4 linked regions of the Lytechinus pictus genome follow. The protein of the gene in region 4 purifies or fractionates together with the protein of the main gene of each other region. This does not show direct contact. Links are inferred from orthologs where the notes say so. Each region holds a gene or a part of one and is shown on either strand. Other genes may lie near its edges.

The links.
Region 1: the proteins of cell division cycle 5-like protein (region 4) and small nuclear ribonucleoprotein Sm D3-like purify together in Homo sapiens (affinity purification with mass spectrometry; 3 studies listed by BioGRID and IntAct, with this or other methods). This does not show direct contact. The link is inferred for Lytechinus pictus from reciprocal best matches to the Homo sapiens genes CDC5L and SNRPD3.
Region 2: the proteins of cell division cycle 5-like protein (region 4) and small nuclear ribonucleoprotein Sm D1-like purify together in Homo sapiens (affinity purification with mass spectrometry; 4 studies listed by BioGRID and IntAct, with this or other methods). This does not show direct contact. The link is inferred for Lytechinus pictus from reciprocal best matches to the Homo sapiens genes CDC5L and SNRPD1.
Region 3: the proteins of cell division cycle 5-like protein (region 4) and splicing factor 3B subunit 1-like purify together in Homo sapiens (affinity purification with mass spectrometry; 5 studies listed by BioGRID and IntAct, with this or other methods). This does not show direct contact. The link is inferred for Lytechinus pictus from reciprocal best matches to the Homo sapiens genes CDC5L and SF3B1.

The regions. Positions count from the first base shown.
Region 1 is NC_087246.1:7,903,256-7,910,815, forward strand, and holds the start of small nuclear ribonucleoprotein Sm D3-like, read left to right. Parts: upstream 1-4,542; 5' UTR 4,543-4,935; coding exon 4,936-5,245; intron 5,246-7,560. UniProt on the Homo sapiens protein: Plays a role in pre-mRNA splicing as a core component of the spliceosomal U1, U2, U4 and U5 small nuclear ribonucleoproteins (snRNPs), the building blocks of the spliceosome.
Region 2 is NC_087246.1:62,605,906-62,613,587, reverse strand, and holds the start of small nuclear ribonucleoprotein Sm D1-like, read right to left. Parts: upstream 3,014-7,682; 5' UTR 2,771-3,013; coding exon 2,757-2,770; intron 1-2,756. Other genes in the region: coiled-coil domain-containing protein 113-like, read right to left, coding at 7,098-7,178. UniProt on the Homo sapiens protein: Plays a role in pre-mRNA splicing as a core component of the spliceosomal U1, U2, U4 and U5 small nuclear ribonucleoproteins (snRNPs), the building blocks of the spliceosome.
Region 3 is NC_087257.1:28,175,205-28,183,135, forward strand, and holds the start of splicing factor 3B subunit 1-like, read right to left. Parts: upstream 3,001-7,931; 5' UTR 2,930-3,000; coding exon 2,899-2,929; intron 1-2,898. UniProt on the Homo sapiens protein: Component of the 17S U2 SnRNP complex of the spliceosome, a large ribonucleoprotein complex that removes introns from transcribed pre-mRNAs.
Region 4 is NC_087248.1:5,493,414-5,500,792, reverse strand, and holds the start of cell division cycle 5-like protein, read right to left. Parts: upstream 3,020-7,379; 5' UTR 2,870-3,019; coding exon 2,825-2,869; exon of another isoform or gene 2,682-2,824; intron 1,845-2,681; coding exon 1,741-1,844; intron 1,591-1,740; coding exon 1,429-1,590; intron 551-1,428; coding exon 420-550; intron 1-419. Other genes in the region: glutamyl-tRNA(Gln) amidotransferase subunit A, mitochondrial-like, read left to right, coding at 3,116-3,139, 3,879-4,038, 6,433-6,531, 7,202-7,298.

The sequences.
Region 1 (7,560 bases), on a different chromosome or scaffold from region 4:
ACCACTGAGCCACCATGACCGGTTGCAATTGTACATGTACAATTCAGATTGTATCTCAATGATTCCAAATATTTTTTCATGAACAGATAAATATGTTTTCATGTATATTGTTTTCAATAGCATTTCAATATCAACATTAACATATCTGAGTTATGCTGGTGAAAACCGGTCATAGAATTGTTCTCATTGGCCCGTATTCTGAACTCTGGTTTAAATTAAACCTTGGTTTAAAGTTGTGGTTTAAATATGGAGAGCCAATTGGGGCACATATCCTTAACAGTACACATCCAATTTATTAACTCATTCGACACTCAAATTGTTCTTAATTGTCTGTTAATGGTAACTGACAGATTTTTCTTCATTATGAAAGCAAAAGGAAACAAAATAGTAAACATAAGAAATATACAATATAAACAGAAATTTTGGCTCCCAATAATTTTAGCACAGAGTTAGACCGTGGTCTAAGTTAAACCCTACTTCAGAATGCGGGCCATTGGGTTTAGGTAATGCAGTTTTAGCTTATTGTAAGTTCTTGATAATTCTTTGCTCTATACCTTACCACAAACCTATTTTTCCCCTTATCTTTAATGTTAATCATGTTTATGAGAGTGTACTACTCTCTGCAGAGTATAAAACATTATATTACCAGAACTTAAGTCTGGTATTGATCCCCTCAAAGTGACATTAGACTATCATCATGATGCATAGAAAGGATCCACTCACAAATGTGAATCACATTAAATCAATTTTGAAATAATCTGTTGACTTGTATGGTGCATAATTTCATATCTAATTGTGCCTGTTATCTGCTTAATAAATAGAGTAGAATTCACTGAACAAAATGCTGAAAATTTCATCAAAATCGGATAACAAATAATAAAGTTATTGAAGTTTAAAGTTTAGCAATATTTTGTGAAAACAGTCATCACGAATATTCATTAGGTGGGCTGATTATGTCGCATCTCCACTTTCCGTTTTCTTATGTTATTACAGAAAATCAAATTTTTTTCATTATTTCATACTTGTGTGAATAATATGTCTCCCTTATAATGAAATAAGTTGCAGCAATAAATATCTAATGCACTAAATCAGTTGTCAATCCAATTTTTCTAGTTCTTGGAGGAAAAAATTTGAATAAATCTAATTTCATATAATAAAATACAAAAGAACAAGTGGGGATGTGCATAGGCGGGGGGGGGGACTTGTCCCCCCCCCCTAAATTTGAGGTGGGGGACGATCCCCCCCCCTAAATTTTGTATCAATAACTTTTTTTTTTTTTTGTGTGTGTTTGTCAAAAAATTTTGATGGTCCCCCCTAAAATTTGGGTGATAACCTTTTTCTTTTTTTTTGGTCGTCCCCCTCAATTTTTTGGGCTTCCGCCGCCAATAGGGATGTGACATCATCAGCCCACCTAATGAATATTCATGACGACTGTTTTCACAAAATATTGCTTAACTTTAAAATTCAATAACTGTTATTTCAAATAACAAAGTTAGTGTTATCCGATTTTGATGAAATTTTCGGCATCTTGCTCAGTGAATTCTACTCTATTTATTAAGCTATAATTACTTTCAGCCCGGACCATCCCTTTAATAGTCATGAGCACTAGCGTACCTACGGGTACGAGCCACCACCCATGCATGTATCCCTGCCCCCCTGACGAGCTTGAAAGACCTTTTTGCCCCCCCTGACGAAAATCCTGGAAAATCCTAGGTACGCCACTGGTCACGAGTCAGTTATACCTAGTTCTTCCAAGGAGGTTTCAATGAGATGGAGTAACAGCAAATAAAATCCCTTTGAACGAGGATAAAAACCGCCACCAGCAAGTATGTCAGGCATGCACTTTGCTCAACATCTCTTGCCCATTGTGTAGACAAATGATTCTCGCATGACTCCACAGCTATAGGTCATATATAAAGGGATACATGCTATATTGTGATGATAATTACTTTTTCGCTGCATCTTGATCTGGTTATATGTGTAGTACGTATTCGGAGGCGTGCGAAAATAAACTGCAATAAATGACTCAAATTTGCTCGACTGGGCATGCACGGGCACTCATCTGGCATATACAATAATGAATAACAATATTCCACTGACCACATTTGAAATTCTCATTCGCCGCAAACGATCGGAAAAGTGTTAAAATCTGTTTTCAGTAAACGTCAAATTCTTACATTTTTCACTAATTAAAGGTTGATTGATATAAGCTGGGCAAATATATCGGCGTAATAGTGCTTGGTTATTGATATTTTGTAATGAGTTCAAATTTCAGTTTGTTTAATAATATGAAAAATGGAAATTGATACAAATGGATATTCGTAAAATTTCACCCCTCTGATTTCTTCGCTGAAACTGGCGGCTTCGAAGGCGGACTCTCAAAAAGGTTCTTATCGACTGCCATTCTTTCTTTTGTGCTTCTTTAGAAATGAATTACAGCTGCTTGAATAAATTTGTTGCCTGTTGGAACTCATCCATGCAGTCATAGAATCTTCTTGGTTCTTCACACTGTCACAATTCATGCCACAATGGAAACCATGGTCTCAATCGCGGAATAATTGTGACTGTGGCAGATCTTGAGGTCGTGGTAATCATGATTTTAGATCAAAAATTTGGACAGCTCAAAAATTTTCCTGGGTCCCGTAACACCAAGGTTAGCGATTAATCGTACGCTTGATTTTCACGATTTAATCTATACTGTAGTCAATGCAATCAATCGTAGAAAAATTATCTAGGATCATTGCTAAACTTTGTGTTACGGGCCCCTGATCAGCGGCTAAGAAAGGCCAATCTCAAAGGATGCACAACAGAATTGAGACAAGTCAGATAGATCATCAAAGTTGGTAGTGATCTGATCCATGATTGTTAACATAATCTTCATAAATTACATGAAATATTGTGGTATTTTAGTCTATTCTCTATTCCACAGGATGCTGTATGATTATGGCAATTAGATTATTTGATAATAAATTAAATAAAGATGCCTGAACTACTTTCCTGGCTTTAGATATTCTTTGTGCATTATTTTGTTTTATGCAAATAGTGAAGGTTAGGAATCTTATTCAGAATGGGATTTTGAATTTGATGAGACTCGGTGGTTATGACGGACCACCATCCGATCCAACAAATTCTAAAACATGAACCATGAGCAAACTTTGTCATTTTATGGTTTTGTTATATTCTCCTTTTATTCCCCCCCCCCCACATTATTTTTTGAACAATATATCCCCCTAAAAAACAAATTTGGAAAGCCAATTCCCTCCTTCATGCCCATACAGGCAAAGAAAACACCTATAATAACTATAATGCTCTTTCTTCAATTAATGAGGGGCACAAAAACTTTGGAACAAGTGGGCTTGCATGTGGAAACAGAAAAATCATATAATGATATCAAAGAAAGTTTGAGAAAATTGGTCAAAAATAAAGAAAAAGCTATGAGCATTTGAATATTGCAATCACTATAATGCTATGGAGATCCTCCAATTGGCAATGCGACAAAGATGTGTGATGTCACATATGAACTATACTTTAATTCCCTTTGATGGACTATGAAATACCCCCAAATATCTCTTTTTGCTCTTTCTCTTTTAAAATCTGTTTTACTTGCCTTGTCATTATGAGATGTGATAAAAGAGGCAGATTAATATACAAAAGTTTATGGGAAAGTTGTTCACACGTACGTGACGTCACCAGCATTATGTTGATAAATTTTTCCACCTCTAGCTATCATACTGGACATCACACATCTTTCTGGCATTCAAGTTCTACATTACAATAATGATCTAAATTCAAATGCTCTTAACTTTCTTATTGTTTATTCAATTTTCTCAAAGTTTCGTTGATCTGTTTTTGTGATTGTTCTGTTCTTACACAAGCTATCATGTTCCAAATGTTCCGTTTTCCTGTATAATCCATGCATGGATGGGTGAATGAATGTGCAGCCTCCCGGCACAGCCTATTTTATGTACCTGCATGATCTAGCTCTTGTAATTGAAAACAGCTTTCAGTCTTTGATTAATTTGGCTGGCAACTATTGTCATGCAGAAAGAACTATATTATGTTCCCCTGGCTTGGAGCTTTTTAAAATGGATTTAAAAGCTTCCTTTATATATCGAGTTATATTTCTCTTTCGATTTCTCCTTCATTTTTGTCTTCTTATATCGAGGTTTTTTACCTGACTGCTAAATAAGCACGAATGCCTGTGAACAAGCAACCAGGGGACCAACGGCTTAAGGTCCTCTCCGAGGGACCTGGTAATGAGGATAAATGCCTTACCAAAGGGCACTAGCGCACCACTTGGGAATCGAACCCGGGTCACCGGAATCCGAAACCCCCGCTCTACCGACTGAGCTATCGCGCCTCCAATATTTTCATATGATTGTTTTTCTTTCATTTTCCCCTATTTTTCTTTTCCATTTTCTTTTATTTTCTCTTCTTTTTCTTTTAATTTATTTCTCTTTCTCCCTTAATTCTTTTTTTTCTATGTCTTTATTGCTATCTTCTAGTCTCGTGTGAACACGTATACTGACTATCGCGATAGTCAGTATAGCGATAGTCACTATAGCGATAGCCCATCAATTTAGAATTGTGTCTATTATTCATTAGATTAAACATACTTATATGATTCCACTGAATATTGATAAACGACGAACCACACAATGTTAAACATAGTTTGGTTTCATTTTATTTTGGCAGTCATCTCTAAATAAAATAGCCCTTTCTCTGAATAGCTCATAGAGTTGGATAGCTCGACAAGCTCAATCTTTATCAATCTTTATCATGATCAAATTGGCAACTTGGCGGTACGTTTGTTTATTATTGTGTTCTCACTTTCACGGTACGGTCGACAGAAAGCAGAATTATTTACACAATCGCTCAAAATCTACGTAATCGAGGTTTATTTTCATCCAGAAATACTTGAAATCGAAATAAAAGATGTCGATCGGTGTACCTATTAAGGTTTTACACGAGGCAGAGGGACATATCATCACTTGTGAGACGAATACAGGTGAAGTCTACCGTGGAAAGCTCATCGAAGCCGAAGACAACATGAACTGCCAAATGATGCACATAACTGTCACTTATCGCGACGGACGAGTCGCACAGCTTGAGCATGTTTATATCAGGGGAAGCAAAATTAGATTTTTCATCTTGCCTGATATGCTGAAGAATGCTCCCATGTTTAAGAAAGCCGGATCTAAGGGATCTGCAGGACGAGGAAAGTCTGCGATTCTGAGAGCCCAGGGTACGTTTTGCAATGTAAAATCAATTGACATTTTTCTGTATGGTGTAACCGGTCAACCCTACCTCAGCTCAGCCAGGCGAGGCGAGGCCGAGGGTACCGTATGGGCACTATGATGGGGTGTCCAAACTTCGCGCACTTTTCAAAAATATTCATCAGGTTTAAATTTTTTCACAAAATATTCATAAATTATACAAAACCAATTAAAAAAATAGTTACCACATTGACGGCAAGATCGTAAACTATAAAATAATGGACGAAAATGTAAAGTAGGTCAAGGGAATTCGCCAGTATCGCGATCTCAAAATTCTATTCTGATCGGCGAATGCGCGCTGTACTGGAAAACGTTCAGAAAAAGTGTGACCTAACTTCGCGGACCAAAGTTTTTGTGGACATTTAAACAAAAACTCAAGCTCAAAAAGTGAAATATTTATATCAGATTGATGGCAAAATGCTATAGAATTGGTTTGTACCACATTTAACTCACATTTTTGATGATTTCTGCTTGCAAAATGGTGATATCGTGATGCTTGTTGAGAATATCAGATTTCTTCAAAAACGGGCGCTAACGGTGACAAATTTGCCGATCTTTTGCCAATATTTTCATGAATACTGAACTCATCCTAAAGAAACTTACACCAAAGGGTAATTTTAGGTCGCTTTTCACGTTGATGATGTCAGATTTTAAGGATATTGGCTAGTTTTTTAGATAATGACCGTCCGCGAAGTATGGACACGCGCGAAGTTTGGACTCACTGCCATACTAGTATTCGACCTGGCATAATTCAAAGATTTGGCCAAATTCCCCCAAATATTTAGAAATAGGGAATTTATCTTAATTTCATACCTTCTTTGTTATTTCAAGGCCAGGGTAATGACTATGTTAATCTGTTTTCGGTATTTTCTTTATCAATCTGTGACTGTGAGTGTAATTCTGTCGATTGTGCGGAGGATCAAATTATGCGGCGATGACCTTTTGGCAATTTTTTTTTTGCACTGAATTGCACTAGTAAGTAGTATTCAACCTAGTGATGATAGATAGTGAATCTCAAAATGGTTTAAATTGCTAAACTAGATCTATGACGTACAGACTAGATGTAGGCCTAACTGTTAACAGTAGAGCCTAGAGGCATGAGAGGCGCACAGCCAATATGGGAGACTCTCTCCAATAGGGGAGACAATCTCCCACATTGGAGACTTGCTTTGCAAAAGGACAAAAGAAACAACACCAACAAAAGCATGATTTTTTCCACCCAAAATTTTGTCTCACTGAGGTCAGAAGCCCATTTGTTTTGTGTGTGATTGACAACAAAAATCCTTTATCAAAACAAAAGTAGACGGTGAATTTTTAAAGTAGACGGTGAAAAGGGGTAATTTTTCATGAGGAATCTGCTTATCACATTTTTATTTGCCGCCAAGTTAATCCTTTTGCAGCAAATGTAAACAAAGGAAATTGGACTCCAAAACTGGAGACTGTCTCTGAAATTGGATACCCAAATTCTTTACAAAAGTCTCTGATATTGGAGATAATCTCCCACATTGGAGACAGTCTCCAATATTGGCCGTGCGCCTCTACTGGTTAAGTCTCTGGCTTTGACTAATTCCCTGTTTGGTCTCATCTCAAATCCATTACACCTATTCGTCATACAACTTGGCCCTTAAGTAAATTTGATTCTTTAAATTATTTTTTTCTTGATTAAAAATAGAGATAAAAAAATGAAAATTTTCTTGCCATATTACTTTCCACCAAAAGAGGGCGTACACAAAAATATGCCCAAAATTCAAGTTTTTGAGTGCTCTAGTAAATACAAAAATTATTCCCAAGTTACTAATGAAAAATAAATTGCAACTGTATGAAAATTAGTAATTTTGGTCACAAAAGTGATATTTTAATGATTTTTTAAAGTGTGTGCTCTGTACAGCATTGGCATGCCATAGTCCTACCTGTAGATTCCACACAGGCAGGATGGTTGCAGTGAACAAGTGGGCAGATCGAGAAACAGGGCCATCTTTCATCGCTAGGTTGAATACTGGTGCCGACGGATTGAATACTAGTGCCAAAAACCATCGACGTATAATTCGATCGCCCGCGTACACAGTCGACGGGTTGAAGAAAAAAATAATGCAAAAAGAATAACCAACATTTGCTCTTGGAAATAAGGCAGGTCTGAAATTAAGGTAAATTCCATATTTCTATAAATTTGAGGAAATTCTCCAAATGGGTTGAATACTAGTGCCCTTACGGTACTCAGACTGTCTCAGTAGAGGCCCACGGCCAGCGGCGTACCTAGGATTTTTCAAAGGGGGGCAAATTCGTC
Region 2 (7,682 bases), on a different chromosome or scaffold from region 4:
ATTGTGCTTGAAAACGGGTTTCCCCGAATTCCCGCCCTTGGAATGACTGTGTACCATGTGCGTGACCTGTTAACCTGTTGTATGAATGCGAATCAGCTGGTTTCGTGACCTCAAATATTCTTCATGTTGTTTACGCTGGATGGGGGCTATAAAAAGATCTTTCTGACTCTTTTTTTTTTTCAATTTTAATAATCTGTTCGTGAATTTCTGTAACATAACTGATGCAATTTATTGAATCACGTACCTCGATCTTCCCACTCATGATGAAAGAAAATATTTAAAAAATTTAAAATCGCCAAAATATACATGTAAAGAAAGATTATTCAGCCGTCATCATCAGTAGTAGTATAGACATGTCTATAAATATGCATTCGCTTCGAATATTGACTTCTTCACCAATCCCACACACACGCACGATCTCAACATCCCCTTGTCATTGTCCACGCCACGACCCCTCCCCTTTCGCGCTCCCCCTTCGACCATCCTAGCTACAACCCTCCCCCCCCCTCTTCCTCTCTTTCACACACGCTGTATTTGTAGGCCTACATAGTGCATTATTTAAAAATACAAATCTGCTTTCCTGTCAATTAAGCTTTACTTTCAAAACATTTTAAATCACAATTAATTATAATAAGAACAAAATCGTAATATTAAAGTATGATGAATGACTAAAAATATTTCTCCCGCTCGTGATGGACACATTCATTATTTTATAGGCGAGTATAGAACAATACAAATGAACATATAGGAATAATTGACAGTGAGTATAAATCTACTTTCCTGTCAATTAAGCTTTACTTTTAAAACATTTTAAATCGCAATTAATTATAATAAGAACAAAATCGTAATATTAAAGTATGATGAATGACTAAAAATATTTCTCCCGCTCGTGATGGACACATTCATTATTTTATAGGCGAGTATAGAACAATACAAATGAACATAGCAATAATTGACAGTGATAAACGAATCTTGATTGGATATTATTAGTATAAACATCATCAGCAGAAGTCTTAATTATGAGAGTCATAGTTTCAGTGAGTATCTGAAAACAAAACAAACATGCAAATTATATCGTCTCATGAATACCGATGCCCATTATTTGGAAGCCTCGGAAGTTTTCTTCCGAGGCTTCCAAACAAAGTCGGAACAATCTTTGGATTGAGTAAGGGCGTGGCGCGGCGCGCATGCGGTCCGTAGATGTAGTCGGTCATTGACACGCATTCACAAAATGAATCGCACTTTCTAAGGACGTAGCGATCTAGACATTGGAAAGTATGGAGTACGTTATCGATGTCATTGATGTGAATAAATCTATAAACTGTAAGTATAAAATGAGATTGAATTTAAATCTTTTCTTTTGACCTTTTTCATCAGTACTTGCCTTTCTGCTTCAATCGATCGCAATTCGCGCAACCGTTACGGCTGTGTGGCCGGAGAAGCATTAAATAGACATCAAATGTGGTGCATTTAGCAGCAATCTAAGCTCGTCGATATTGATATTTTCGATAGCTACCGCGCTCCGCGCGGGAGGGGGGACACCCCCCTCCCGCGACCCTCCCCCCCCGTGTAGTAGTAATAGTAGCTGCGCGGCTTGCGTATCATCGCTTCGCGCCGCCAAGCGTCAGAATGAACCTGGCGAGAACGTTGACCTTACGTTAGTAAATGATTTTTACTCTCAAAAAAGAAGCCGCCTGGCTACGTGCACCTCTAAGTCTAACTATTAGTATTACTGTATTAATTTATTATCAGTATCATTAATGATCAGCAGTAGAGGCGCACGGCCAATATGGGAGACTCTCTCCAATAGGGGAGACAATCTCCCACATTGGAGACTTGCTTTGCAAAAGGACAAAAGAAACAACACCAACAAAAGCATGATTTTTTCCACCCAAAATTTTGTCTCACTGAGGTCAGAAGCCCATTTGTTTTGTGTGTGATTGACAACAAAAATCCTTATCAAAACAAAAGTAGATGGTGAATTTTTAAAGTAGACGGTGAAAAGGGGTAATTTCTCATGAGGAATCTGCTTATCACATTTTTATTTGCCGCCAAGGTAATCCTTTTGCAGCAAATGTAAACAAAGGAAATTGGTCTCCAAAACTGGAGACTGTCTCTGAAATTGGATACCCAAATTCTTTACAAAAGTCTCTGATATTGGAGATAATCTCCCACATTGGAGACAGTCTCCAATATTGGCCGTGCGCCTCTACTGATCAGAATCGCAATGCATTATTATGGGATCGCAAAGGGGGCCGTTGCTCTCCAGCCCCCTTTCCGATCCCATTATGCATTGCGGTTCTGATAAGCGATAAACCATATTCGGAAACACTAGTCTACAGACGGTGCAGCCGTTTTGTCGTGACACAATTGTGACAAGTCGATATTAATCATATTAAAATATTATTATTAATAAAACATTGTAAAATATCGACAATAACGTTCGATGACACTTCATGAAACATCCTGGTATCTATCAGTAGATCTACATTTATTCCAAATTATACCAATATTGTACAAATATTCATCACTACTGACAAGGGCGAGCCCCGGTATTTAGCTTGCTAAAATGCAAGGGCTTCCATCCAACCTATCTTCACTACTTCAGTCCCACTCGTTCATTTTCATGGGTGTCATATAAACCGACATGTAATGTGAAAATAAACCATAAACCATACAAGTAAGATTAAGACTTTCATGATGCAGGTCAAATAGATCCATCAATTAATAATTATTGAATAAAAATTGATAATTACCTGACTAGCTTCATGATGATGTCGGATTGCGATCAGCATCCGACGATAAAAATTGGACGTTCAATCGACGCGCGTGTACCAAAACAATGGACTGTGGCTGACGCAGATGGCAGCAAACCAAGTCATGCATGCAGATGTCGCGCCCGCCGCGCCAGCGTCAATTTAGCCAAGTTAAAATTGCCCCAAGAAAAATCATTTCACTGGCATTTCCCGGTGGCATTTACTTGGAAGTGAATTACCGCTGACAGCCTGATCACGATTTAAAACTCCTGTTATGAAACAGGAACGGAAACTTAACATTTAAATTTTGATAGATTTAGCTATTTAGAATCTAATGATGTTATCTTTATTGCATTTATTTTTTCCATTTCCTTCAATAAAGTAATGATCTAGGAGCTAGGAGTTAACACTTGATCAAGGGAGGGGGAGTACTGCCCTTTAAAAATGGGATAAGATTGAAACCTTTGTGTTATGTTCTTTTTTATTGATGTATAGTATAGTGTTTGTAAATATATTTGGCGAGAGGGGGGGAAGGGGTGCAAGGGTGGATATTGGCTTAAGGTTTTACTTATATTCATTCTTCGAACGGATTTTTATCTCAAAGAATCAGAATATAATTTGTTTTACCTGATCCAAGACAAAGCCCCCACTTAATAGGGAGAGGATTGCATTTGATGGGACAGTGCCGCTGGTAACGAAGCCAAATAAAGAATTGAAAAAACTTTCAGAAAAATATGTATATAATTATCTGAATTAAAGAAATAAAGAAGGGACATGGAAACAAGAAATTAAGAGACAGAGACCGAAGGGAAAAGGGTAGGTGGGGGAGAAGGCACTGCAAAAGAGAGAATCCATGCATCCCCATCTTTCTCTCTCCCCAACTCTCTCTCTCCCTCTGTCCCTTCCCTTTCTATTTGAATTACTCTCACTCGTTTACACTTTATATTCTTTTCCAAAGGAGAATATTTGACTAGTCACATGACACATGTCATCTCTCTTCCATGCTCTTGTCTTTCTCCCGGGCTTTCTCCCTTTCTTTTTCTTTTCCCCATTACTTTTAGAAGTCACAGGGGCAGACACTCCTTGTAGCACTGTCCCTGCTACTGATCGAATATACAGCATCTCATTCAATTTAGTTTGTCAACTTCAAACATTCATTTTTTTTCATTCTCATTTTATCTTGTTCCTTGTTTTTTTTTTTTTTTTTTGGGGGGGGGGTGGGGGAGGGTAGTCTCTGAAATAGAAATAAGCAGTTTCTCTTGTCAGTTAACAAATATTTTATTTTCAGTAAACAGTATATCGAGTAAGAAACAATAATATAAAGATTTTTAAATCTGAAATATCTAAATAATACTTAGTTGCTTTTTATCTATGTTTTATGTTATCTCTATGAGTGGAAATAACTTGAAATTTAAATCTAAAATAAGGCGAAACATACATTGAATAGTATAAACAAAGGAGGTAATGCATATTTTCATTTATAATTTATATACACATGTTCTCATCTGTAGTGTAGGCACATTATCAAAATGCCACAAATGATCAATAATTCATAGAACATTATTTTATATATAATATATATAAATACTGGTTTTGCAACAATTTTTCTTCTTCAAAATAAACATTTACTCACAATATGTTGGAAATGATGATCTAATCAAGGTGATCTTTCTCTTTAAAAGTCAAGTCCAACCCAAGAAGTAAACAAAAACACTAAAAATTGTAGTAGAGAAGGATAAAAACAAGCATAATGTTCAAAATTTCACACGTGTTGTGCACATCAACTACTTTGAGAAAATAAGCGAAACTTTGAAAGGTTATATCCTTATTTCGACACCCAATTCTTCATAAAAAATTCTGATGAAATTTCCAGCATTATACTTGCTTGTTTTTTTTTTCCTTTTTTTAAAATCAATTTCTAGTTGAGGAGGACTTGACCTTTCAGAAGATTGATTTTGGACGGAGTATTTTATGACTCTTTCAACATGTGAGTCGATGCACGAAGTAATGGACAAGTCTAATTCCAAATGCTTACTTTCCCCAAAATATAAATATTTTCATAAAATGTAAATTGAAGTTGCATCAGAATCTACAATCATCGAAAATATGTTGCAATACATGTATAGCAGGGATGTACTTGTATCATGAATGAAAAAAATAAGAGAATTAAAATGCAATTAGCAGATATTATGAGCATCATAAATGCATATGCATTTTATTATTTCTGAATTATTGTTATATTGCTGGTTCACCATCATTTATTATATGTTAGGAACATCACAGACGTGGTCGTTATTTCAATAATATGGAGTAGTACTTTTCTCTTTCAGATGAATGCTAAAGGCATTTTCATGAAAGTCAGACCTGCACCTTTCACACAGGAGTGCTGCAAGCTTCTTTTCATTGCTGATCATCACATTCATAATACACAATATAAACCTTACGTGTGTCTTTCATTGAATAACAAAAACATTTCATACTTCTGTGCTTCTTTCTACATTTGTTTTCATCACAGTGAATTTCTGCTCTCTACTTCAAATGAATATACAATGAATAAAGTTTACAGAGAGGGAAAACATCATGGCTATGCTGCCGTACTTTGGCAAAATTAAGCAAGTTACAAAAGTATCATTTGGTGTAAATGAGCAATGTGTATTAGTCATTTACATAGGCGTCAATGCAATTTAACAGCATGTTTTCTTCAATATTTTTCCATAGAACGATAATTTCTTCCCCATATTTTGCCTGAACGTGCAACATACAAAGGGTGTTTCAGAAACAACAATAACTCAAATTTGACTGATGTGTCACTTGCTTCCTTTTGCCAAAGTTGGTCAGTACAGCTCGATCAATCGAGATAATGAAAGCTATTGGAAATTGAAGATGTTTCCCTTCCATCTTTAATACTGGAATGACAACCTGGTTGCCTTGCTGTAATGCACAGAAAAGTATTATTGTTTCTGTTTTCATAGTCACTGATAGATACTGAGGGAATTCATGCACATATCAAAATCCACTGTTTATGAATCCAGATCATTGTATAAAAAACAATGGAAACTCTTTATACACATGTACATGTTTTTGCAGTTCTAGATCTGGGGTGGTATTCTGGAACCATGTCATAAATTTTGTAATTTCTCTCCTGAGATGTGACACCGCTATGATTGTCACAAATCGGTATTCTGAACATTGTCCTTCCTCTGTCATTTTTCTCCCATATTCCCGCCCATCTTTTCGGAAGCAAACCAATCAAAATCACTGTTAGTTCCGAGTGGGAGCCCTTCTAACCAACAGGAAGGCCCGGTGGCACATCCTTGATATATAGCTGGCATCGCGTGACTGCGCGTATATTGACACGCTTAATTACAAATAAAAACAGGGAGCTGTGAAGGATTATTAGAAGAGAGATTTTTTAAAAAGAGGAAAACATAAAAAAGGAGGAATTAATATGTAGGGCCCAACTACTTGTAACATGAAAAAACATTTTTGAAAATAGTCATGGATGACGAGTGGAACTAAAACAACAATCCAACCTAAATATTTAGTCGGCAGGTTATCGGGATATTATGGTACCAAACGAAATCACAAAATTAATGACTACTAGGCTTTGTCATAAATGTTGTCATATCTTTTGCTTGTATATTGGGATTATGCGCATTCATGAACTGTGTATTTTTTTAGCGTGATAAAGAGAAGATGTAAAATTCAAGACAGTTTTAATGACAAAAGTTATGACATCCACCTGAATACAGATTCTGTCATATCTCTGAGAAAAGACAATGTTTAGAATACCCTCGGCCCCTAGCCTACAATGATGAACAATATAAATCTATTATATATACTATACATATTTTCACATTATTGTTCTTGTCCCCAATGAAGGATATAAACTTGTGGTACAGGTACAATTCATGCTGCAATAAGTATCAAGTCCAGGGTCCCGTAACACAAAGGTTAGCGATTAATTTTCACGATTGATTGTACATTGTAGTCAATGCAATCAATCGTAGAAAAATGTTCTACGATCATTGCTAACCTTGTGTTACGGGCCCCAGGTGAGCATTTCATGAAGCAAATAGTTATCATCACTGACTAATTTTTTATTTTTTCCTGAAATCCTTTCATCTGATTGGCTCAGAAAAATTTAGTCAGTGAAAATCACCGAGTACTTGCTTTATGAAACACTCCCCAGTTCCCAATTTGCGTCAACTGTCACACCTTGAATAGGAAAAGCGAAGCCAAGAACCAGGTATTAATTCCTCTGATCCTACCAGTTTAAAAGCATACAGGGGCATGTCATTATTCTAACAATAGTTCATAGGTTAGGGAATTGGAACAGATTTATGCAATGACACCCCACTGCTGGTGTTCACTGGACATTCTCATCTGTTGCCACGTCTTTCGATGCGTCTTCAAGGCCATCTACAAATAAAAGAAGGAAAGGACATATAGGAATAAAGAAAAGGTTCTATTAAAACAAATTTACATTAACCAATTGGGGCATTCCTGTTTCTAAATTGTATCACTTCATCTTGTAAACATCTATTTATTTTTTTTATCATGCAATACTTGAGCGGAATATTATTATCATATACTTTTTTTTATTATCAACCTGTAGTTCAATGTAGAAAGCAAAAAAATAAAAAAAGAAAAGATGGAAACAGATTGGAAAAAATTATGTTTTGTTCCATCAAGTTGAACATTCCTATTAAAAACTGTGATGAAAAGTTATCATCAGCCAATTGAGATCCAGTTGAAACTGTAAAAAAAAATGTCCCTCGACTAATGAAACTACACTCTATTCAAAGAAAAAAAATAACTAACATATCAAACACATAAAAATGTTTCGCAATTGGGTGCTGTTCAAAAAGCACCAATTTGCATCAGGCAAATAAATTTTCAATTTTTCTCGACATACTTCCTAAA
Region 3 (7,931 bases), on a different chromosome or scaffold from region 4:
TTACTCAATAAATTTGATCAAGATACTGTGATGTAGCAACAATTTATCAATGGCACCATGTGGAAAATTGTTCATCTGCCACCCTTTTTGCATACCCAACTACAACTTATCATGCAACCCCATAATATGTCTGCCAACTATGCACGGACGAGTCCTGGACCTGGGCTCCGGCCTGCAAACTGGGCCGCAGCTCCCTGGTTTACAGCTGGGCAGCCTGGGCTGGCATTGGCCAAGGCGCGGCGTCTACTCGACACAATCAACATTCAAAAATGAAAAATGGCCAAATGATCAACATTGACAATCAATAGTATGGTAGTAGGGGGTCCTAAAGCTACACACCACTCATCGCACATGCAGTTTGGCAAATGCGCACTCTGCGTGTGGAACTGACTGCAGGGTGACGAACAATTTTTTTTCAACAGAGGCTGCAGTAAATCTCTAAATGCAGAGAAAACCAAGAACTGTTTGGAATTTTGGAGTTATACTCACTTTAATGTCATTTTATCCTATAATAATGTTTTAGAAATTGAGACACAGGAAATAATATTTTTTGCATGATAAATCGAGTGCGTAGCTTGGGTGTCTGGAGAAAAAAATTATTTTTCTTATTTCAAGAAAATATCACATTTTCTTTGCGAATTTGAAGAGAAATGACCTTCAGACTGACAGAAATGTAACATTTTTGAAAAAAATCAAATTATTGGCTGCAAAAAAAGAAGAATGAAATTAGGTCAATTTTCAGCATTTCTCTGCCATAGACTGTGTAGTTAAGAAATGGACACACACAAATCCAAATTTTTAGCTTCCGAGATGTTATTAATTTATTATTAATGCCAAAAACTTGTCCTTAAAGAGTCCAATAGGATTTTTTATGCTCTATCTGATGGTATGATTTTTATAAAGATTTGGAAACCAGATCACAATGAAAAATTGCGACAAAGTTAAAACAGAAATTTCATTTTCCCATAGAAAACCAGAGCTGCCAACATTGGGATGATAGAATCCAGAAGATTTCGCGGAGGTATGATTTTGTGAGGGAGCGCGCGGCGAAATGTCCCACGGACGGGAGTTTTGGGTAGCAAAACTCATTAAGAAACAACATTTGATAGTATCCGACAGCTGTCTAAACCATCAAAACTTTTGGCACATAGATTAAATGCACATTAGAGAGATTTCATGAAATGATGAATTGTCTGTCATTGACTAAAAAAATAAGTTCAAGCCTGATTTCAGGCAATACAGTAGAACATAAAATGATTCACAAAAGAATGCGTTCAACAAGAAAATACCTTTATTGTCCAGAGGGGAAAAGGGCTGCAGTAGTGGAAGATGAGCTTGCCTGGCCCTGTAAAGACTTATATGTGGCCTGTTTTAAAGTCTGAGGGCCGAGGGATTCCTGTGAAAATTGCCTTTTTGTAGCAAGCACGCACAGCCAGCCAGCGCCAGGCTAGCTCACTCACGAAAGAGAAAATGTTCGAATCCGATCAACCCAAGTAAAAGTAGGCAAAAAAAATCTCCACTTTGCTTCTGTTCTTCAGGATTGTCAATAAAATTATTCCTAAAAGTCAGGGTGTAATTATAATAGTAACCCATCGTTGATCCACAGTTTCAGCTCGAATAAAGCGCACACAAGCTTCCGAAAAATACATCGGACTTCCCTTTTCGCATAGCCTCCTGCCGGAGACCAGGCAGTGCCGCGCCGGGGCGCGTCGGGGGGCATAGGCATGGAGTGCCGCTAAAGTGTTTCCATCATGCACATGCACATTGCAGAACCAGAAAAAAAAATTGCTTGTTAGACTAATTCACCAGTCGTTCGGTAAAATTATCTTCATTTACATTGGAAATCAATGTACGATTATACAAAAACTGGTAAAAGTAACTGGGTAAAATGAAAATGTGATAAGGAGTTTCCACGTGGGTGTAAAACTAAAGGGAGTTGAACATGCTAGACTCGTAAAACAGTCGTTTGTATGAATTTTACAATTTAACAGCTAAAAATCACAATTATCCGGGAGATTTTGGCATGGGGTCGGGAGAACGGGAGATTGGATCGAAATCCAGTATTCTCCCGCAGGATCCGGGAGACTTGGAAGCTCTGGAAAACGCATGGAGAAATGGCAATCTCAACACACACAAAAATAAGGTTTTGCAATTTATCTCTAATTCCTTATTTAAAATGATCATATAAACTTGTCCTTACTGTCAAAAGAAGCCCCTCAATTTTCTCTTTCCATACATGCCAAACACAAGTTAATAATAATAATCAATTCAGATCACATTTTTCTAGTAGCCTGAACTTCCCCGAAAAATGTGCCATATTTTCCCCTAAATCAGCCTGTTTTATGCTGACACTTTTCAGTGTGGCTTCAGACACTAGCTTTAGGACCTCTTCTACATTCTGAAAAAAACAGCCATTGGCATTGCCATTGACATGATTGACATGACAGACAGGCTGACAGCGGGATTTTCGTATTACGTGAGTTTTGCAAATTTTTATTCTTGTTTATTAATGATCTTTAGAATGTTTGCCACAAATTAGTGAAATATAATTTGTTCAAATATTAAAATTGGCATAGTTTTTATCGTTTGAAAACAAAGTGCGTAGCTTCCCCCCCCCCCCCCCATCATATCACACAGGCCATGTACCAGTGTGTACCCATACATAGGCCATACCGTATATGACACCACACGAATCAGTCAACACAAATGACAAAATAAAAAAAATAATCACCCAACTCTCGTCGTCAACAACACTGATAATACAACATAAACAGACAAGTAAAACATATTTTTAAACATTCAAAATTGTGGTCTCAAAATCTATGATCATTCTTCTTTCAAATTTGTATCAATAGAGTGAATCATGGCACCAAACAAGAAACATTTCAAGAGTCATACCTTCACGCGTTGCATACTCTGCGGCCGCCATGTTTGATGCTAAATTGGACCTACACGATTTCCGTGCGCGCGTGAACGCGCTCGTCAAGCTAGCTTACGAACGCGCCGTGCGACCTTTGCTCGTGACGTGACGGAGCTGAGGGCTCGGCAGGATCGAGGTAGTCTACAAATGAAGACCCACATCTGCAGTGTGTGTACCACACCTGATTCAACGAGTCTGCATAGCAGACTAGGTCTACTGTGGCTGGCTCGCTTCGCTCGCCATTTCAGGCTGGTTTGCTTGCTTCGCGCAAACCAGCAGCAGCGCGCGATCCCACCTCACCAGCCATTCAGAGTCTGCATAGCAGACTAAGATCGAGGTGGGGGCGCTTACTGGGGAGAAGAGAAGAGAAGAGAAGAGAAGAGAGGAGAAGAGAAGAGAAGAGAAGAGAAGCCGGAAGAGAAGAAAAGAGGATCGAGAGGAGAGGAGAGAAGAGAAGAGAATTAGAGAAGAGAAGAGAATTAAGGGAAAAGAAAAGAAAATTCAGAAAAGCCAGGAGAGGAAGGGGAGACAAGAAAGTGAGAGGTGGGCATAGTTTTTTTTAGGTCGACTATCGTGTACTAGTATTTAAAGGAAAATGAAACATTTGGAACAAGATAGCTTGTGTGAAAACAGACAAATCAAAGAAACAGATCAACAAAAGTTTGAGAAAAATCGGACAAATAATGAGAAAGTTATGAGCGTCATTGAATATTGCGATCACTAATGACATGGATATCCTCACATTGGCAATGCGACAAAGATGTGTGATGTCACTTGTGAACAACTCTCCCCATATACATTTCACTAAAACTGCCTCTTTTTTCACATCTATCAGTAGAGCATATATTCTTTCTATGGGAGGGCATATAATACATATTTTTAAAGAATACATCATGGATAAAGAGTTTGTATCACCATAAGAAAATTAAAAAAAGAGACATTTTGGGGGTATTTTATAGTCCATCAAAGGGAAAGTTGTTCCGTGACATCACACATCCTTGTAGCATTGCCAATGGGAGGTTCTCCATAGCATTAGTGATTGCAATAACTTTCTCATTATTTGTCAGATTTTTCTCAAACTTTCTTTGTTCTTATTCTTTGATTTTTCTGTTTCGACACAAGCCTACTTGCTCCAAAGGTTTCATTCACCTTTAAAGTAGATCAAATTCTACTATAGCACTGTAACAGCTAAGCCTTAATGAATTGATCACCTCAAGCCTTAGCTCGCTCTACTCAAACCTCAACAGGTAACCCATAATGCAACATTCTGAGCAGTGTAGTCTTGTAATATAGACCGACTTGAACGATATGCTAATCCCGGAATGCTAATTCAATATACTCGATATATACGTTCACAATACCGCAGTGATTATGCTATATAAGTAGCAGAACATGTACGTTCCTCTCAAAAGCAGTTTATTTTCCCTTTAAAGGTATTGTTTAACTTTGTGTTTGTGCTTTTGTCATTACCATGGTTGATTGTATATTGTACATTTTTTATTGTTGTGTGTATGGACCCCTACGAAAAACAGCACTTGCTGATAGGGTGTTCCATCCCACAAGTGGTAAATAAATAAATAAAATAAAAAATAAAAACTTTAATTGTGAGCAGCCGATTTAAAAAATTCTCAAACCAAGATGAAACATGTGTACAAGTGCATGTATTAGAACTAATAAACCCTGAAAACAACCATTATTGAGAATGAAAAGCTAAAACTACAAGGCAAACCCCGATTTTGTAAATAGGCGTCTTATAGACGCCTAAATAGTACACATAAGTGTATGGGATGAAATTAAGATGGTTTTTTTCGGTCACTTTATATTTAAATTTATGTAGCACTAAATAATTATTTTCGAACGCAATTTTTTCTGGGCTTCATTTTTGTAACATATCACAGACACAGGTGAGAATTAAGTGTGACCTTCTAGCTCAGATTTTTTAAAAGTCAAACCAATGTTAAACAATCACTTTAAGTATAGGTTAGGTTATTCTCTGTAAGCCTATATATTGGTAATTGTTATCTCAAAACGTATATCTTAAGACTAGCTAATGAGAGCTCCCCTTCAACATAATTATGATGCATCTGAGCATCCAATCCGATTCAAGCGGATTCAAGCTCGTATAAGCACTTTTATAAAGATTCAACTAGTTGTTGACAAGAAATAGTCTCAAAATGCATTTCTTATTTTACGGGCACTATTAATGGAGAAAATAAAGAATGCCTGACTTATTTTTTTTTTTACAGTGTAGCATATTCTATCCTGAAAAGGCTGTAAAAATACAGAACAGGCTGACGAGGGGTGTTTGAAAAATCCATGAAATCCCACAAGCTTCAGGGGTTCTGAAGCGGGGTATAATAAGAATGGGGGAAGAATTATAATTTTTTTTGTTCAGGTCACTATTTAGAATTTTTGTTCGCGCTTCGCGCGTGCATTATAGTGTTTAATGAAATCCATATCTTGTTCATGATTATTAAATGGTGCTTAAACTATCCGGCTTTGAAGTCTACACTGTTAGAAAATTTCTACTTAAAAAAAACAAAAATTCCTGCAGCAGAGTCTCGAGAACACCTGTATGTTACTGCACTGTGTAATATTACATGCATTTTGTGTAAAATTACAGAAAATAGATATTGGTGTATGTAACCTTACAAATTTATTGTAATAAAACTGTTTTCCCCCTTTTTAAAACAGACCTGTTCTGAAAAATTCTATAAAAATTGTATAAAATCTTTCCTGTTTTAACAATTATTGGTTACTTCTTTTTGTAAAATCTGTTTTTATTTTTTCTTATGTAAAATCTTCTGTTTTTCTAACAGCGTATGCAAAAAAATTTTTTTTGCTATCACACAGTGTTGTAGTGTCATGATGCTTGGCCTTGGCCTTAAGGCCTACTTTTTCAAAGCCTCGGCCTTGAACATTCAAGCCTTAGCCTTGAGAGGGCCTTGACCTTGGCCTTGAGGATTTTGAGCCTTGAAATTTCAAGGCATTTTCAAGGCATTTTGTAATTTGTACTTTTATTTGTTTTTATATAAGTAATTATAAATGCTTAAAATTTTCTGTATATTTAATGACACTAATGGTCAATTCTACCAGTCAACAATAGCAGTAGCAGCAGCGGTAGTAAGTGTACTAGCAGTGCCATCAATATATTTTTACAATTATCAAGAATCATCAACACATTATATTACAAAGAAAACAGCAGTGATGAAAAAAAAATTATGTGTTGTAATCTTGACTAATGATGATAATGACAATATTACTAATAATGATGATAATTATCGTAATAATGATTATGATAAAGATTATAGTGATTTGATGTCAGGAAGAATTCTGACAGATCTGACTGCAATTTTGACAACAATTTTCATACAATTTTTATAGCTAATTCTGAAGAATGATAACAAGGTTGATTTCTATTCCATTAGGATTTTCCTCGTATTATTTTCTTTGGTCTTTAATTTGGTAGTATTCTTTATTCCGGTTTTTTAGGTAAAAAAAAACAGTAGAAGATACAAAAAATGATAATTGAAATTTTAAAGTGGTTGTAAGCAGAAAAAAACATGAAAACTGACAAGAGTCCTAAAACTGACTAATTTTCAGGTCAGCATCTGAAATTTTCAACTTGCGCTTTGTGATCTCTTGCCCCCCCCCCTGAAAAGTTCCATGTAGGAAAAAAGGCCCCTTTTCTAAATCGAGAAATTCCCTTTTTTCCAAATGAAATGTGCCCATTTTCAAAAACATTGAAAAGAAATACCTTTTTTAAATAGAATTTATAGTAAAACATAATACATTTTAAGTTAGTAAATCAAAAATTTGGGATCGCACTCGCATCAATTATTGTTTAGTATGGTATTAATACTAGTAATCCTGTTCATGGTTACAAAAATGTTTATGATTTCCAGTTTTCAGATTGGAATATCACAGATCTTTGGCTCGTGTTCTGCACTCGCATTAATTGTTAAGTAAGGTACTCATTCTCAGCGGCGTAACAGGGGTCGGTGGCCAGGGGGGGGGGGGGGCAAGAGCCAAAAATTTCCCGGTCATATCATGGAACAGGCAATGGCGTCATAAGGCAAAAAATTTGAGGGGGCGATATGGCGTATCGGGCAAATATACATATAAATAAAAGCGAGCGAGCGAAGCGAGCGAGCAAAAATATTTTGACATTTTTATTGCAAAAATCCAATTTTGTGATAGATTTTTACATAATGTTAAAAAGATGATATCATATTTCACCCTCTCTTTTCCTTTTCTCTCTTTTTTGTACGCCACGGTGAACAGGATTTTTGTTATGATTGTGAGCATCAGGGCGAAGCTCTACATGCTCGAGGGGGCCGAGTATGGCGCTTCTGGCAAGAAGTAGCTTAACATAGGTCCCGAGCGAGCGAAGCGAGCGAGATAAAAAAATCACCTTTCATGAGAATCTAACATGAAGATAGATTTTAACGTGATATTCAGAAAAATATAATACACTTTCCTTTCTTTCCTCATTTTTTTTTGTTTGGTTGTAGAACTTTTGGGGGCCATGGTCCAAACTCATCCATATAACAGTGCTTTATGGGTGGGGTCCAGGGCAGAGCCCCGGAACCTCTTGATATCAAAGCCATTTTAAACCTTACAGATGGCCACTTAATTTAATCAAATTGCGTGTATATTTATATAGCTTTAACACAACACATAAATTCAAGTGTGTATCGTAATCATCCAAATATTGTGAGGGGCACACCATAGCAAATGTGGGAAAATTTGTAAAAAGTCGCTGGCGAGCGAAGCGAGCCAGAAAAAAAATGGCCTGTTAAAACGAAATTCTAATTATGTGATAGATTTTTACATCATTATAGCAAATATCATGTCATATATTTTTTTTCATTCATCTCATTTTGCTGCCTCCTTTATTTTCTTTTATTTCCCCTTGGCTGTGGAACCACCCCCCGGTACGCCAGTGCTTCAACGTAAAGCCTAATGCAGGAAGGGTCCATATAGGGGCCCGTTATAGAACCCATTAAAG
Region 4 (7,379 bases):
ACCAAAGCAGGCAAGATCTTCACCATTTGATATCTTGTTTTTTTTTTTATGTTATTAGCTAAATTTGCATATATCAATGTGGATAGTACGAGTTATTTCTATCTCAGATTAACATTTATCTCATCTCATTTAATGATAAGTTCAATTTTCCTCATCTCCTTAGGCTTGTCTAGTATCATATTTGTATAAGGTCTATTTTGAACCAGGTGAGGTTAATGATCATCTGTCAGGAATTTATTCCTAGAAATGTTTGTGTGCTATAAAAGTATGCAGGCTAAAACCAGAGTAATAATATCAAGTCTTTTGAAAGCACATGAGTTGTTACATGATAATGTGAAATGCCCTATTAATGTACAAGAATGGAATATCATTATTTTAGTTTGTTTCAGGAGATGATTTTTAATCGTTTCATTCCTTACCATCTTCATCCATATCAATAGGATCAGGTCTAGCTGGTTTAGTCTCTGGATTAGGATCAATCTCTCCTGGTTTCAGCTTCCTTGGATCATCCATCGTATCCCCATCACCTTCCTTCTTCTGCGCTTGATCACTGGTCATCAAAATGATACCAACATCTCAAATGTAAAACTGTTCAAGAACTTAGTTCTAAAAGAAACTAGTTACTCAAGGTTAAAAACATCTTTCTAAAATACTATATTTCATACATGTATCTATCTAAAAAGGTAATATTAGGAAGTAAATTTCCCATGTGTGCTCTCAAACTTGAAGTCAAGACTTTCATCTGTATTCATGAGACTTTTGATTTTACAGATGTGTATCGTACAGGATTATTTTATCTTGGACGAACCTTTAAAGTAGCCATTCATAAGACATGACAGGGCAGTGACAATAAATTGCCTTGCTCAGAGGCACATGTGCTGTGGTCAGGTTTTGAACCCTGTACCTTCATGTGTAATAGGGTTCCTTTGACCACTTGAACATGACAACTCCACAAAGGCTGTTGCTTTATTAAAACAAAGGTACGAGCCTAAATCATAGTTTGATATCAATACTCATTCATTTTCCATCAAAAGTTAATGTTATATCTATTACAACCAAGCAAGCAAACAGTATGGCCTCTGTGTCTCAATTTCAATGCGAAATACATGCTGTATGATTGGTTTGTTACGCATGTGTTCCTCAAATCTCTGAATACATAACTGTTATGTATTCAGAGACACTTAAACATGTATAAGTGATGATATAGATACCAAAGCCAATACATCAATAGGTTTGCAATAGATAATGATACATTCATAAATGAGTTACGACAAATTGAATCTCATTGCTTGGCAGAGCAATTGTGAACAAAACTGCACAATACAGAAGTAATCAGAGCACAAGAATTACAATTTGATAACCATTTCAAACTCCAAAGGCCTATAAATTAGATTTAAAATCTCACTGAAGAGTGAGATCGTAACTTACAGTAAGATTTCATATCTTTCCAGACACTGTGCTGCAGTACGTCCCACAATGGGTGCAATGGTCCTCCATTGGGTAGGCATGAGCTTAGCCAGGTGTAGGAGCTTCTCATCTTCCTCTCGACTCCATTCTGTTTTCTTGATACTCGGATCCAGCCATTCAAACCTAAGATGAAGAACAAGAGAAAAGCTGAATTCTAATTTCAACGCACAAGCAAATGAAATATCTACACATTTGATAAGGAATTAGGAATACCTTCCATATGGACAGTTTTAAGAAAACACTACATCCCCATGATAAATTGATGTAACTTACCATCTTGCTTTGCATTGTTTAGCTGATTTCCTGTGTAACAGTGAAGCAATTCTAGACCACTGGTTTTTGCCATATTTCATCACAGCTGCCTTGAGGATTTCATCCTAATGCACAAAAGAAATAGGATAATAGGTTATTGAAAAATAAAACCCTTCAAAGTTCAATTATGAAATCATACTAATAAATATTTCTAATTTATATCGAAATACATCTTAATCCATGTGGATATACATTGATTACCTGCACTTAAATGTACTTAAAATCCATGAATAAATTCTCACCAGAAGAGTAAGTCAAGCCTCACAAGCAGCAGACATGTGGACTGAGGAGGACTGAGGTCATTTAATCTTTAAAACAGGGTTGTATTATAACATTAAAGTTTTTTTGTTTTAAAACGCCTTAAATCCTTTTGTTTAAAACATTTTTACCCCAATAAACAAATTAAATTTTATGATGAATTAGGGGTAAAACTGACCTATTTGTAGCTAGACAAAATATTCTAAAAGTTACACGGATTCTTTTCCGTAATCTCCGTAAAAAAAATAAAGAGTGTCCCATAAGATCTCCCGTCTCGACGTGATGTCTTCTATACTTGGTGCATTAAAAAAAAATATGTTCATATAATGTATTTCAATTTGATGGCCCTTGTTTTTAAATTCTCTGTTGGCCATTTTTTATGAAGGCCAAGGGCCTGGCCCTGGCCCAGTAACGTCCTGGCATCGGGACGGTCTCCACTTCGAATCAAAATGACTGAGTGATAGTGACTGATGACTGAAATAAATTAATTTAACTTAAATTAATGAGGCATGCCATTAATGATGGGTGTTAAACTTGCCACAATAAAAGTTAAAACCATTTCTTTTTCCTTAATTCTGAATTTCTGATCCTTCAACACCTTCAATTTTGAATTTTCTTTCTCACACTACCCTAAAATGCACAATACACACTCAAAAAGCACGTCATACACTGCAAAACATGCAAGTTTTTTTTGCAAAGATCGCCGATTTAACTGAAATTTCTGATGGATTTTAACTCAAACTAACATATTTTTAAGGGAGAATAAGACTAAAACATAAATATTTACTTCAGTGTTCCTCCAAACACCTCCTTTAATCTGGATTCGTGGCATTTTCACAGTCTTTCTTGTCAAAATTCAGGTTTGAGAAGTGAAAAGGGAGAATATCACGCAACGAGTTGTAGTTTATTCTCCTAGCTATGCGCTAGGCGCTAACCGGAAAAGAAAGAGAGAATGCACGTACTTTTGCGCCGCGCATTTTAAAGATAATTGATAAAACGACTGGACAAAAATCTACGTTTTCTCTCGCGACAGTTGAGTGCGCTGCGACTTTTCCAATAACAGTTAGATTTACGAAAAATGTTCGGTTTATCTATTCGTGAGGTAAATATAATTTATGTTTCTGTTATATCTTTTGTTCGGCTCTTTGTTCATGTAAAAGTAGTATGTATTTCTCTGAAGTAAATGTTTAAATTGACTTTTTTTTTTTTAATTTACAGGGAATTATTTTGTTCACCTCAGTCCCACAAACTCAAAAAATTGTGAGAGCTTATGTTATTGCAATATTGATTACTCTTCACTCGTGAATTTGTTGACTTTGGCAAGTTTGGGCCTGGGACTGCAGCATGTGATCGAGGGGAAAGGGTGGGGGCGGCATATCATAGATCAGTATGCAAATCTATCAGTCACTATAGTCTATGGCCTAGATCTATATCACCATACATACATGTGGTTAAGACTTAATTAAGTTGATGTGTGTTCGGTTAATTCCATAATTTCTAACTAAAAATTAGAATAAGATCTACATAAATGCCAAACAATTTGGGATCTAAATTATTTCCTTACCTGTTTAAAAACTATTTTCTGGGTATACTATAAGTTAGTTGAGCTTGAGCCTTGAGGGGCTAATAATCGCCTGATGGGTGATCACTTGATTTATTTGATAATTTTGTTCTTGACATAATCCACTCAAAGTCAAAGTTGCGGAACATAGATATACTATAGCCTTAAGACTTAACTTTATTAATATTATTTTCCAGATGTAAATATACATGTAGATTGAAGCATGAAAAGTTTATTTTTCAAATCAAAGTTTCATTTTTTTAAATTTCCATCATTGCAGATTGCTCTTCGCTTACGTGATGGTCGGCTTTCGGTCACTGAGCTCTGTTCCAGATGTGCAGAGAGGGCAAGGCGCTGTAAAGAGCTGAATGCTATTGTAACAGAGTGCTTTGATCAAGGACTGGAAGATGCAAAGAAAGTCCAAGACAAAATAAATAAAGGTAGTTTCACTTTTACTGTTACAGTGTTAGTCTTAAATTTTCCAATGGCTAAGATTGAATTTTTTTTATATGAATCTAGTTTATTTGTGTTATTCATTTAAACTATCATAATCTCTATCTTTTCAGATTTGACTATGTTTACATCTTCAGAAGATGAAAATATTTTTGGTGGAAAAATTTATGTTACAATCTAGGTAGATTTTGTCAATCTTTTTTTTATATTTTCTTTCACACAACTTTTAATTCATAAGAGACTGCTGATTATGTGAAGGTTTTTTTTTTTATTCCAAATACAAATTTCAATTATGGAAAGCAGATTTCTCATTTTCTTAATGGTCAATAAATTTTTCATTCTTCCATTCAGTGTTCAATTGTTTAGATTTTTTAAAGTTAAAATTCATGGTAAATTATAGTAAATATTCCAATCTTGCTTAGAGCACTATGCACAATATGATTCATGTTCCAAGCAAAGATTCCATCGTTGTGTTTGTCAGTGTTTAGATAACAAATGATGCCATGAAATTTCAGGTTTTCAACATTTTTTGTTGATAAGCATCTGTGTCTCTCTTTTCAATTTGGTTTATAGAAATTTGATTGAATCTGAATTGGCCAGACATTCTGTGTAGTCAATTTTTCAATATTTCATTTTATTTTTCATCTTCATAAGATATCAAATTAGTCAAATCAGAAAAACAATGAGATACTGTAATGAGAATAACACAGAATCAGATGATAGATAAAGGTCAACAAATAACATGTGGAAAATATTAATTTTCAAAGCATGATGTGTTATCTCTCCTGAAGTTCTTGGATGATTCAGATTCATGCAAGATTAAAATATTTAAATTTTTTGTGTGTATTAGTGTTACTCAGTTTTAAACTTTCATAATATCTTGGTTCAGATTTAACTATGTTTACATCTTCTGAAGATGAAAAATTAACTATAACTTATTGAGGTGAATGTTTTTTCAATGCTTTTTTTCATACAACATGTAATTGACTAAACAGGAGTTTACTTGAAAGGGAATTTTATTCCAAATACAAATTGCTAACATAGAAAGCAAATTGCTCATTTTTTTAAAGAAGATAAAGTCCTAATACTGTAATCTTTCATTTTATCCAGTTTTTGTTTACTGTGTTTCCATATGAAGTTGGCTATTATTAAAAACAAGTTGGATTCATATTTGATCATGGTAAATATTTTATTATGCATATTGCTTACAATTTAGTTTACATTATGTTTCCTGAAGGAAATATTATATTGTGCATTTTCAATAACATACCATGTTTTGAAAATTCATATTTTGAATGTCACATATATTGAAACACATTTCTATTAATTGAATATGTTCATCCAAATTGTAGAAGTAAAGTATTAGAGTATCATAAACTCTACGTTGTTAGATTCACCTATGTTTACATCTGATGAAGATAGGGAAAATGATGAAGGTGTAGAATTGTGCAAGCTTTATTTTTTTCTTTTACCAAACTTTTTATTATAAAGATTTTCATGAAGTAATTAAAGGTTATTTACGGTCTTATCCAGAACTTTTTTTATGTTACAGCTTTGAGTATTTTTGCCCTATTTTTTCCCCAGATTTCAGCTGTAACCCACTATTATTTTAATCCACACTATTCTCCCTTTTCCAAATCCCTTCACCCTCCATATATTTTCTTCTTAATTTACCCTAAAAGGCTTAAATTTCATTAAATGCATTATTCTTACATAGATGTTCAGGTTAGCGAGTTTATGCCTGGTAATCAGATTTGACAAGTAAAGGTTGCTATATGATTCTTCTTGGATTTAATAAGTATATTGATACTAAACTGGACAGCAAAAGAAAGTACCCACCCCTGTCAAAGGCCGCACACAAAAATTTACGACATAAATATAAACAATTTTTGTACACAGGTGTGCTACAATACCCATTACTAATCACATGTACATAAGCAATTGAATATCTTCATAACAAAGAAGAACTTGGCATGCATAGCATCTTTGTCTCTGAATCAAAAGTCCCACACAAAAGCACTTTCCACCAAGCAAAAATGGCCACTGAATGGACAACATCTTTTAACAACCAATATGTCAAAGTGAATGGACGGCTCATTCTGTTACATTTTGTGACTTTTGATTCAGTGACCAAGATGCTGTACATGTCATTTTATTTCTTTGTAATAAAGATAATCACTTCCTGTTGGGTATGTGATTACTAATGGATATTGCAGCATACCTGTGTACAAAATTGTTTATTTCTATGGGGTGAATTTTTGTGTGCAGCCTTTGATAGAAGTGGGTACTTTCTTTTGCTGGCCAGTTTATATTCTAGAATTTCAATTATGTTTCAAAGAGTGACACTAAATGAATCAATGATCCAATTTGTCATTTATCAGGTGCATCTGTAGGTTGTTTAGGTGGGATACCTATAACTATCAAGGACAACTACAGCACAACAGGGCTTAGAACAACTTGTGGCTCAAAAATGTTAGAGAGTAAGTAAACTTTGTGTAGTTGTGTCTTCTGATAGTATGGTTTGCATTACTTTTCAGCACTTTTTAGATGTACGATAAGTTTGCATAGGAAGAGGATTACCGGTATTCATTTTCTTACCCTTGACTATACATGTATGTGAAAAGCATGTAATGAGAGCTTCTTATTGGATGTACAGCTAAGAAGCTTTTACACCATAGAAATTCTGGGAATTCAGCTTTTGGCATTTCTGGCCAGGTTAGCTACTAGTTTAGAGGACAGTGTTTTAGATCATAGCTAATTAAATCATACATAATAAATGATAATAATAATATACATTTATATAACGCTTAATACAAATGTTTCTAAGCACTCCATACTGACACTGAGGCCTTCAAGGAATTCCTTCCTACTGAGTTCCCATTTACTACACCTGGGTGGAGAGTGGCAAATGTAGATAAAAGCCTTGGCAAAGGCTGCGAGTGCTGTGGTGGGAATTGAACCCTGGACCTTGTGGTTCAAAATCTAGAGATTTATCCACTGAGCTATAACACTTCTACATTTATTTCATTCTCATTCCCCTCTGGATGATGGACATCACCTTTTACTGGTCAACAACCAAATGGTGTCAAATACCTATCAAAGCCGAGTACAATTTTCAATGATTCATTGATTCTTTATTTTTCTTTATAGATTATAAGCCACCATACACAGCTACGGTGGTAGAAAGACTTCAGGATCATGGTGCTATCCTTCTGGGAAAAACTAACCTTGATGAGTTTGCCATGGGGTAAGCTGTTTTATAACATGATAATAGAATCATTACTGTCCTAAATTAATGTATTGGAGTACAGTATCGTTATTTCAGCAG